Linked DNA regions of Saccharomyces cerevisiae S288C. Changing the gene in region 1 together with any one later gene gives a genetic interaction. Each region holds a gene or a part of one and is shown on either strand. Other genes may lie near its edges.

Evidence for each region.
Region 2: mutations in RAX1 (region 1) and GIC2 are lethal when combined (synthetic lethality), as found in Saccharomyces cerevisiae (one study listed by BioGRID).

Annotation. Positions count from the first base shown.
Region 1 is NC_001147.6:879,395-885,326, reverse strand, and holds RAX1 (Rax1p), read right to left. Parts: upstream 4,363-5,932; coding exon 3,055-4,362; downstream 1-3,054. Other genes in the region: ISW2 (DNA translocase), read right to left, coding at 1-813; carbamoyl-phosphate synthase (glutamine-hydrolyzing) CPA1, read right to left, coding at 1,193-2,428; YOR302W (uncharacterized protein), read right to left, coding at 2,485-2,562; BUD7 (exomer complex subunit), read right to left, coding at 4,652-5,932. UniProt on the Saccharomyces cerevisiae protein: Required for the establishment of the bipolar budding pattern. Involved in selecting bud sites at both the distal and proximal poles of daughter cells as well as near previously used division sites on mother cells.
Region 2 is NC_001136.10:1,077,272-1,081,965, forward strand, and holds GIC2 (Gic2p), read right to left. Parts: upstream 2,929-4,694; coding exon 1,777-2,928; downstream 1-1,776. Other genes in the region: PMT7 (putative dolichyl-phosphate-mannose--protein mannosyltransferase), read left to right, coding at 1-582; SRB7 (Srb7p), read right to left, coding at 756-1,178; SUM1 (Sum1p), read right to left, coding at 3,857-4,694. UniProt on the Saccharomyces cerevisiae protein: Required for cell size and shape control, bud site selection, bud emergence, actin cytoskeletal organization, mitotic spindle orientation/positioning, and mating projection formation in response to mating pheromone.

The DNA of each region.
Region 1 (5,932 bases):
TCTTGTGTCTTTATCACCATGTAACACAAGGACATTGACGTTTGGAGTCCATTTAAGAAACTCTCGTCTCCAATTATCTAGTGTTGACTTCGGTACTATTATTAGAAAGGGTCCCTCGATTTGTTTGACGTATCTCAAATAACCTAGGAATGAAATTGTTTGTAAGGTTTTACCCAGCCCCATTTCATCGGCCAAGATACCAGATAGTTTGTTTTCGTGCAACGATATTAACCAGTTTAAGCCTTGAACTTGATAGTCTCTTAATTTTCCTGACTTGACGAAGGAGGGAGATTCTGAGACGAATATGTCTTCCTGATATGTATCTACAATCTCTTCTTCCTCATCAGCCATTAATTCAGCATCTTCCTCCTTTTCTGTTTTTCTATGGTGACGTGATGACGAACTGACGGTGCTGTGTGATTTGGAAAGTTTGTTTGCATCAGAATCTAACTGTTTTAAGAGTTTTTGAATATTTTTATCATGTTTTGCCTTAATTCCAATAAAATGACGGAAAAGGTCTGTGACGCCTAATAAATATTTGAATCTTTTGTACGTATCGGACTTGTCCTTTTGCTTGGCGTATTTTGGATCTACATCAAGTACGAATTTTTTCTTTCTTTGAGCCCAATATTCTGGTGGTCTATCTTCTACTGTATATATTTCTTTATCTGATAGCTCTTCACTTTGTCCGATATTATCATCATCACTACTGCCATTTGACTTTGAGTCGAGAGTATCGACTAAAACTTCTGAAGGTGACTCGCTTTTGCTATTCTTGGTATCACTTCGTTGCTCCTCTTGCTGGGTCGTCATGATCTGATTGTAAGTTTTCCTTTTGTTACGACTTAAACCAACAAGACGGGTATTATTGGAAAGTAAATAAAACAAACCACAAAGAAAGAAAACCGTTTGCACAAACTCCTTGAGTTATGCAAATATACTTATCAAAATTTAACTGAAGCTGAAAATTTTTGAGTCTGCTTTATTTGATTTTTTTTTTAGGATGGCAGGATGAAATTAGAGCCATTGTACGTACGTTACGTTTTTTTGTTCATTTAATTACAAGAAGCGCCCGTTAATTATGACAACTGCGAGTAGATACTAAGCAACGACGAGTAGCGCAAAATACCATGAACTGAATTGAATCGTATTTAGATGTACGTATGTGTTACGTAATGTATAAATTTTGTTTTTAGAACAACACTCTTTCCTTGGCCAACTTAGTAACATTTATACTCTGCAATCTCGATTTATCGGTACTGTATGTTACTTTTAGTGAGATTGAACTTTTTGCCTGAGATTGTAATTGGTATTTTTCTATATTATCGAAGAATTTGTCAAAAAGAATAGCTGTGTCTAAGGGACCACCTTTTGCCTCTGGGTGAAATTGGGTAGAAAATATGGGTCTTTGAAGGTGTATCATGCCTTCGTTTGATTTGTCGTTTAAATTAACAAAATAAGGTTTCCATTGGTCCTTTGGTAGGGTCTCAGGATCAACTGCATAGCCATGATTTTGAGATGTAATGTGGCACTGGCCGGTAGTCAAATCCATGGCAGGGATGTTGTGAGCCCTATTACCATATTTCAATTTGTGAGTAGAGGCACCGGAGGCCAGAGCCAAGAGTTGATGGCCTAGACAAATCCCAAAAATAGGGATACAGTCATAAACAGGGTTATTTAGTAATTCCCTGACGTTGGAAATTGTAGCTTGGCATAGTTCTGGGTTGCCTGGTCCATTGGATAAGAAAATACCGTCGAATTCAGAAGCAACATCTTGAATTCTGTAATCATAGGGGAAAACAGTTACATTGGCACCTCTTTTGACTAGGCATCTGATAATGTTTTCTTTAACACCACAGTCAATAAGAGCCACATTTGCCTTAGCCTTCCCAGGTAAGGCAGAGACGTGGAAAGGCTTTTTTGTGGTGACTTGAGCAACCAAGTTAGTTTTCATGGGATTCACGTAGGGGACAGGGTCATGATCAGCCAACGTAATACGGCCCAAAGAAGAACCTTGTTCCCTCAAGTATTGCACTAGTTCACGGGTGTCTACGCCAGTAATAGCAGCAACACCTTCTCTCTGACACCATTGTGCCAGAGATTCAACAGCGGTCCAATGCGAATATTGATAAGCATATTCAGCGACAACGATGCCGACCACATGTATATGCGGAGATTCAAAATACTTCAGTAAATTGTATTCATCGCGGGCTTCGCCGGATGGGACACCGTAGTTACCAATCAAGGGTTGCGTGAAGACTAATATCTGACCACGGTAGGAAGGATCAGTCATGGACTCTGGGTAACCAACCAGAGAAGTAGTGAAAACTGTTTCACCAGCAACAGATTTGTTTGCACCAAAAGATATACCTTCAAAGGAAGGACCATTTTGGATACAGAAAGTAGCTTTTGTTGCAGCGGAGGACATTTGAAATATTTTTAGGAGTGGTTTGTGATAGAATTTCTGATTATTAAGCAATGAAATTAGTGGGAGCTAGTTTTCCAGATGTGGTCAGATATGTAGTCTTGGCAGGTGTATTGAGAGTTCGATAAGCTAAACATATAATGTTTTTTTTATTTCAAATCTGCAAAAAGGGTATGTAGAAGAGTCGATTACCTTGTATTCTTTGCAGTATTTAAACAATTAGATGTTCGAGTGTATCTATGTGTTATAGTTCTGAAGAAAAAAAAAAAAAAAAAAAAGAAAAAGAAACGACGAGTCAAGAAAAGAAAAGAAAAAGGAGGGGCATGAAAAAAGAAATTGACCGAATAATCTAATGAACGTTGGATAGTTAAGTGTCTTACGAGAGAGCCTTATATATCATGTCATCGCCTTTTTTTTCCGCGAGAGGTGATAAGTGAAATCGCAACTATTTACTCATCATGAGGTAATGCGATGCGATGATGAGTCAAACACCCTTCCACGGGAAGCGCCAGCCGGCGCCCTCGGTAAAGCCTGCACTTAACGGCCCCTCGCTGTTTCTTGTACTTAGCGTCACGCGCTATGGAAATATGCGGTGCACAGGTGTTTTTATAGGGGGGTGATGGATTACATCATACACGACGGCCGGGAACACAGCTGAAAATAACTGTGAATGCGGCAGTGGCACCCACTACGAGAAGCAGACACCACAGTCCACGCTTACGTAGAAGCTGCCGAGTAAATGGGTGCTCTATGCGGGTAAGACGGCGCCTACCGCCGAACACCGCAAGTATCATTGGCACGTGATCGGTATCACTAGAAGCATCTCCTTCGTCATTGCCAGCGTTTTTGTGTCTGTGGAGAAGTCTCTGTGTGACGCCAAACCAGGAATACACAATGTCCACTTGATACATGCCACACACAATGCAGTAGCATCCCAGTGTAAATGGCACGACCGTAACGACACGGATTGCGCGACTATACGCCAGGAAGATTAGAACATATCCGATCCAAAAGCCGATGCCTAGCCAGAGCAAACCAAAGCCAATACGACTGATTGACGTGTGATTGGAGAATGGCGAGCGAGAAATGTGCGTCTGGCCTCGAGAGCGATTGCTTTTTTCGTTGGTGACGCCCACTGAGTGGAATCTCCAATCAGATATTTCATCGTGGATGTTGTGTAGTGCGACGCGGCTTAGAAATTTTGGGAAACAATCCATTTCTAGGAATTGGTAAGTTAGGTTTTTTAGGTCGTCAAAAATCTCAATGTCGTACTTTCGCTCGATTTGTACGCTTTCTATTATGCGGTTCCGCGTTTCCATGGGGATGTTGCTCAGGTACCGTTCGCTTTGTTCGGGCGATACTAAATAGGTGTTGCAGAGACCAACTGCGCTGTGCAGCAGTTGTTTTGTAGTTATCTGCGGTTTTCCGTCTTGTTGGGAGCGCCTTTTCATTATCTCGTCGACGATCAGCGCTACGTCTTCGTTTCTCAGGGCTTCTTGACCGATACCCGATTGGTGCTTCCAATCACCCAGCAATTCGTTTAATTTTGGTGAAAAGGGCACGTCTGGGCCGCTATTTTCTAAGAGTTTATCAGGTGCTTCCGGGTCTAGGTGCCCTTCTTCTATCAGTGCGTTCAGCAAGTCAAATGTAGCCGTAGATGTACTTCCATTCTGCTGTTGTTCTTGTGGAAAGTTGATTAATGATTTTCTTACCAACTCTATGTAGTTTTTGCAAAGTCGTGTATGTGTCATAAGGTCAACCCAAAAGTCCAGATAGTTGATGGCATATGGGAATTGTGAAAGAAATGTATAAAAAGTCCAGAGATCAACTGGCTGCGATGTCCTCTGTATTAACACTTCATACAATGTTGGCAATCGTTCACGCTGGATCATCTCGAAATTTTGCATACTGCTCACTTTGCTGAGCTCTTCCTTCATGATGAATGGGACGCTCTTGAACTTTCTTTTTGGCAGAAATTGTTAGAGGTCGTTGTGCACAATGAATTTCCCGTATGTGTTTTATTGATATTTTCGTTTTGCCCGCATTCTCGAAACACGAATATTTTTCCTCGAATGGCGGCGGGCGGCGAAGTTACATAACCAGCATTGCTCTGTATTAATGTATGCTGGGTTTTCTTTAAAGTGACCCAAGAGTTTGACACAACGTTGAAGCGTATCGCCAATTTTTTTTGGATTATATATACGTATTAATGTCTTTTTATCGTATTTATGCATCGTAGCATCCAATGGTGCAAGTAGTGAAGAAATTGAGCAAATTCTCCTGCACCAAGTTGAGAACAGTTTCTGGATATCTTGACGAGATTTCATTCGAAACTTTGGTCAGACTCATATCTTGAATAACCACACTTAAACAATCAAGTAAACTTATGGAAAATTCCGTATACCAACGGTGGTTCCAGCAGCATATCTTCACGCAAAGGTCGATAATGCTATTGTCTAGCTCTCTTATGCGTGAGCTTACTATTTCAGGGACCATGTCATGCGAATTAGGTGAGTTTATAAAATTTTTGACCCGTTGGCGTTCGTTTATACAATATTCCAGCAGTTTCCTCGCGCACCTTGATGAAAATCTCTGCGATAAACCGTTCTGGAAGGCCTTGGCGGCCTCAGGGAAATGGCCCAGTCGACGTGCACAAAGGCCAAATAACTCCCATTCGAAAGTCAACTTATTGTGGTTGTTATTCTGTGCATCCATGTACAGTTGTTCGGTTTGCCATAATGTATACATCTTCAGGTCTTCATATAAAAGCATGAAGAGGTTGTCTAACCATCGTTCACACAGCCGTTTAGCCCTCAGAGGCTGTTCTTCTTGTTTGTTAACGTCCTTTGGTAACGAAGATGATGATTTTTGGTACTCTTCTTCCATAACGAAAATGTTTGATCTGTACTTTAACAGATTTTCCCAGCCGGTGATCTGCACAATTTCTGTCAATAATCGGTATGCCAATTGGAAAGTAGATTTCAAGTTCGACGCAGCTAAATTGACCAGCATTGGATCCGCAGAGCGGTGTTCATTCTGAACGTCTTGTGGATTCAACGACGTCACTTCATCCAGTACAACGTCAATTGGCAATGGCAAATGAAGACTATTATTCGAAGGCAACGGAGCTACTCTTTTCAGTACGTATTTTTCCTTTAATGGAGACATAGGGCATGAATTCAGTATCAGTAAGGCATTTTCAATATCATTTAGCTTTACATACACCTTGGATAAAAGATACCAAGGTCTAAATTCACTGGGAGAACAATTGACTGCCTCTTGCGCTATGTTTTGCGCCAAGCTGTAATCCTGCCTTTTGTCTATCAAAAATTGCGCTTGTAAGCACAGTAATTCAGATTTATAATCCATGCGGTTATTAGTGTTGTTTATTATTTTATCCTGCGAAAGCATATCGTATGTGAGCTTTATTGCGTCTAATTCTTGATCACACACCAAAAAGATCTTGATTAGTATTATGATCGCCTCAGGGTTGTCGGTAGCCAGATT
Region 2 (4,694 bases), on another chromosome or scaffold:
GTCCTATGTATGGAGTACCCAGTAATACCAAGAACCACTTTTCTAATAGACTCAGTACAACTACCAGTCGATTTCCAAGTCCCAATGATAGAATATTATATCGGCAAAATAAGTTCTTCAGCAGAATTCAATCATACCTTATCTTGGTCACAATTTCTTTATCTTTTCAAAGAATATATTTTCAAACAATACAAGTACAATTACTATATTAAATACGGTAAAAATAAGGTCACTTTTGAAGATGCGTTCGCCGTGGAAAAATGGCCAATTACGTTAGACACAGACTCTCCAGTTTGGTTTAATTTTGCATGGTATGGATCCTTACTCTCGATGATCATTTTCATGTGCGTGCAATGTAAGAGAATGATATCTTGGAATCCGTGGACAACTGCTGAACCTTCCTTTTCTATCAAATGGGAGGTCTACAATGAATTTGGCTGGGAGTGCATTGTCGGTTGGTTTTTACATTTTTACATCTTCACAATGAGTCCACACTTCAACTTGGGGAAAAAACTGTACTTCCAAAGTTTTTTCTTTAGTGTATTGTGTCTTTTAGAATCGTTAGATTGCCTTGCAAAGTAACTCGTAGAAAGATTTTCTCCATTATGATTTTTCTCCCATTGCTTCAATAATTCTCCGGTACAAATAGAGTAGCACAATTATTTATAAGAATAACATACATACGCTTAACTCTGCCATATAACTATAGTACATTTTCTGTCCTCTGTTCGCAAATTTCTTTGTAAAACTTAAGTTTATGTGCTCTTTTTTGAGTTTGCAATGCCATCTACAAAATCTTCAATTAAAGAATCAACGTGCCTTAAAAGTTTCTCCTTCTTTTTGATGGCCTCAATTTTTTCGTCTTCCACTTCAACTAGCTTTTTCTGCAACATATCAATCTTCCTTAATTGCTCTTCAGCTGAAACGTCAACACCAGGTAACGAGTCAATAAGCTTGTTTATCTGTCTTGTTTTAAGTATAATGTCCGTGGATAGCTCATCTATCGTGTTAGAAAATTCCTCAGGAGGTACTACTGTGGCATGCTTATCGGACATCTGAGGTTCATTTACGGTCAATCGTTCAAAACCATGGTTCTTATCTATGTAGTTTAAAGTAGCACAGAATTGCTCCGTCATTTGGTCTAAACATATCTGCAATTGTGTTAATCTATCTGTCATTGTTAAAGAGCATATAATGTATTGAACTAGTGAAATGTTATGTCCCTCTTTTAACCAATGGTTTACCGTTTGAATTATAATTATCTTTCAGAATTGATTTTTTTTCTAACTTTCTTGCAATGCGAACAAAGCTTGTAATTAAGCACGTACGGTTGGCCTTTAAAGGATTACAGAGAAAGACAAGGCTTCTACAGAAACAGCCACATGTTCTACAAAAGCGCACTTCACGCATATAAGCATATAAATGTTAGTTATATGAACAATCTTAAGTAATATATAATAAATCAGAAAAGTTTAACTGTAAAAGAAATTGTGTTTTAAAAGAAGATATAATAAACGAATGTATGGGATAACGCCAAGTTAAATGAATGTCCTTGTTTTGTAACTAAAGCAGAAGAAATAATATTGTTAGCTCTAGTTATTTTAATAGTGAAAAAATAGCCGAAATAAAGAACAAAGAAAAAAGAATGAGGAAACGAATGAATGAGATTAACGAGTAAAAAACGAATGAATGATACTTCAGATGGTCCTTGAATATGTTTTATAAGCTGATTCTTTGAATTTTTTTTTTTTTTTTTTTTCATTTTCTGTCCTTAGCTTAAGTTTGCAGGGGCTCGAGCTGGTTGAAAGAATAAAGAACATCATCGAAAGATTTTCTATGGTTTACAGGGGAGTCAGAGTAGGAAAATTTAGATTGTGGAGAAGGCGTAGCTATAGAGTTTCTTCTCTTGGGAAGAGGGCTTTGGCGTGAAGGAAAGAAGGCTTTTGCTGAGTCCTTATTTGAGTTTGGGGTCTCTAAAAGGCTACGATAAGCGCTTGACCTCTGAGAACGAGGCAAGAAGTCTAAAATAGGCTTATCTTCAAGTAGTGTGGGGAAGTTGTAGTTCTTCAAAAAATCCAGCGAAGACTCACTAGAATCCGTGGAATTAGTGTATCTATGACCCAGAGCGTGTGACTTATTTTTAAATTGTTTTGGAGATGCGTTTGGGGAATACTCAAAAATAGATGTAGCCATAGTTGACGTAGATACGACTCTCCCATTAATGGAATGATTGTTTCCTTGTGTGTTTTTAGAGTAATTGGAGGACGTTACTGAGATCGAACGCGCGACTGATAGTCTTGATGTCTTATTTTCGTGCGATCTTGAAATGAGTTTGCTTTCACGATTAGCAGGGATCCTTTCAGTGACAAAAGCTTTATTTAGTGATTTCGAATCCCGCTTGCTTGAGGAGGAGGTATAGTCGTCCTTAATCTCTGTGGACAGCGATGAAGGTTCCTGCAATTGCTCATCTTGGAATCCATTTCTAGTGTCAGCATGTGAAATATGTTGAAAATCAAATGGTGTGGAGATACCTTTACCTCTTATGTCCGGTTGGGCACCAAGCAACTTTTTCTTCAACAAATTAAGCTTAAGGAAAACCTTTTTGTGATTTGTCTTGTTGGCGCTGGACGATGATGACGATGATTCTTTAGACTTTGCAGAGTTAGAATTACTTCTCCTGTGGTGGCAAGACGGATGTGAATTTGGTGAAAGTGGAGGCAACTCAATGTTTTTCTTGTTACTCAGCACAGGTTTATCGCTGTTGATGAAAGTAATGCCTAGGTTTTCTTCATCATCAGATCCCATGAATTGCTGGGCCTGCAGACCGTAGAGTTTTTCAGCTTCTTCATCTTCATCCAGCCAAATCGACCGCATCTGTGGAAGGTTCATGGTTTCGTTTCCAGTATTGGTAATACTTGCACTAGTCATATTCGTTCTTTTGATAGCGTATTCTGTCAGGTATTCCTTTTGTTAGTGTTAGGTGTTTCGGAGCGAAAGATCGAGTTCGATAGCATAAAAAAAGAAGCTCTCTTGAGCAGTAGCAATAATATATACCAGACACGAAACAATCCATCAACAGGTCTCGTTTTACTGGAGTTTTACATTTTCAGTTTCTTTTTCGGATGCGAATGATCACTAGCTTGCAAACACGAATTGATCACGTTTCACAATTGTTCCACCAAACATGGCGATAACGGCAGCGTTTCCTCGAGAAATAGGCAACATCTAGATCTCGAAATGGTTGGTCTGCACCTGTTTCTGGGTGACCAATCCTCGGAGCCATTCCAGTGCTTAAGTCTTCAGGGGCCAGAACGCGTCTTTGCCGGGTGCCGCATTCTTTTGGCCCGGTCGCGCCTGCCCAAAGTAGCAATACACAACACCCAAAGAAGGAATTTCTTTTTCTGGAATATTAATGGAGCGGAGCCGCGCGCTTGCTGAACGCCAAAATTATAAAAACAAACTTTGCAGGTTTTTGAATCTGACGCAGTCAATCATGTTTCTTTTCTCGTGTAGGTTAATATAGATAAGCGCCCAGCGGTATGCTTTTTGCGTTTTTTGCTATTTTGAGACAATGGCGATAGTTTAAGTTTCTTAGTATGCAGAGGTGCTTTTGTACGACTGGGGCGTTCCTCAGCGCAAGAGTAAGAAATAGTTACAAATTCGTCGATAAAGGTGTATGTAATGTTAAGCGCTAAATATGTATGTAATGTTAAGCGCTAAATATGTAATGTTCCAAATAAGTTGGGAGGTTACTTGGTTGGGCATAGTAACGGTCCATTATTTTGTGTTTTTTTTATTTTTTTTTATTTTTCATTTTTTTATCTATTCTCGAAACTGCCCCAACGTACGGACCAGCTTAACGGATATCTGGCGGTATGATTCTGGAATATTTGACCTGGTTGTTTTCTGAACCGTCATCAAGGAAGTCAAAAATTAACATGTTGTCGATGGTTTCATTCAGATTGTCTTCGTTAATGCCGTCCTGACCCAATGCCGGCAGTGTTTCGTTATGGGGAAACATCCACTCTCTCCATTGAGTGGTCACATTGTCGCAGAGGTCGTAGAGGATCATTTTTAGCAGGGTAATATGGTTGTAGAACCATGAAACGGATCGATTAATAAATATTCTGTAGTTTTCCATCTCTTTCACCGCATGCAGGATGGTGTAGTTGTGGAATCTTCTTTTGTCTCTTGATTGGTCTCTCCAAAATTCGAAAAGGGCAAATAACGCCTTTCTCCTTTGCCAGGTTCTTTTGGATTCCCGAAGTTTTAAGCCTAGACCAACTAGTTTATTCTCCCACCTGAATTCCATCAAGAAGTACTCCAAACTGTTAACGTATTTCTCTGTCAGCGTTGTCTTGCTCAAAATTTCAAAGGCAAGTTCCGTCTCTTCTTGAATATCAGGCTTGAAGAAATGCGCATTCATTTTTTCATGCTTTGATTTAGCAGCATAATCCTCCTCATTGATGCTAGAGTTGATCAATTCCTCTTCTTTCGCCTTGAATTTAAATTCCAGGTACGCTCCTGTGGTAATGGGAACGTCCGGAATATCTCTCCGGTAGAAGAAGCCTTCCCGGCAGATTAATTCAATGGGAGTTGCCGTTAACAATGTATTGCGTGACTCTGTACCCAAACCGAGGTTTCCGTTGCCATTGCTACTATCGTTAGCAGACTCAGTATCGTTATGGATAGAT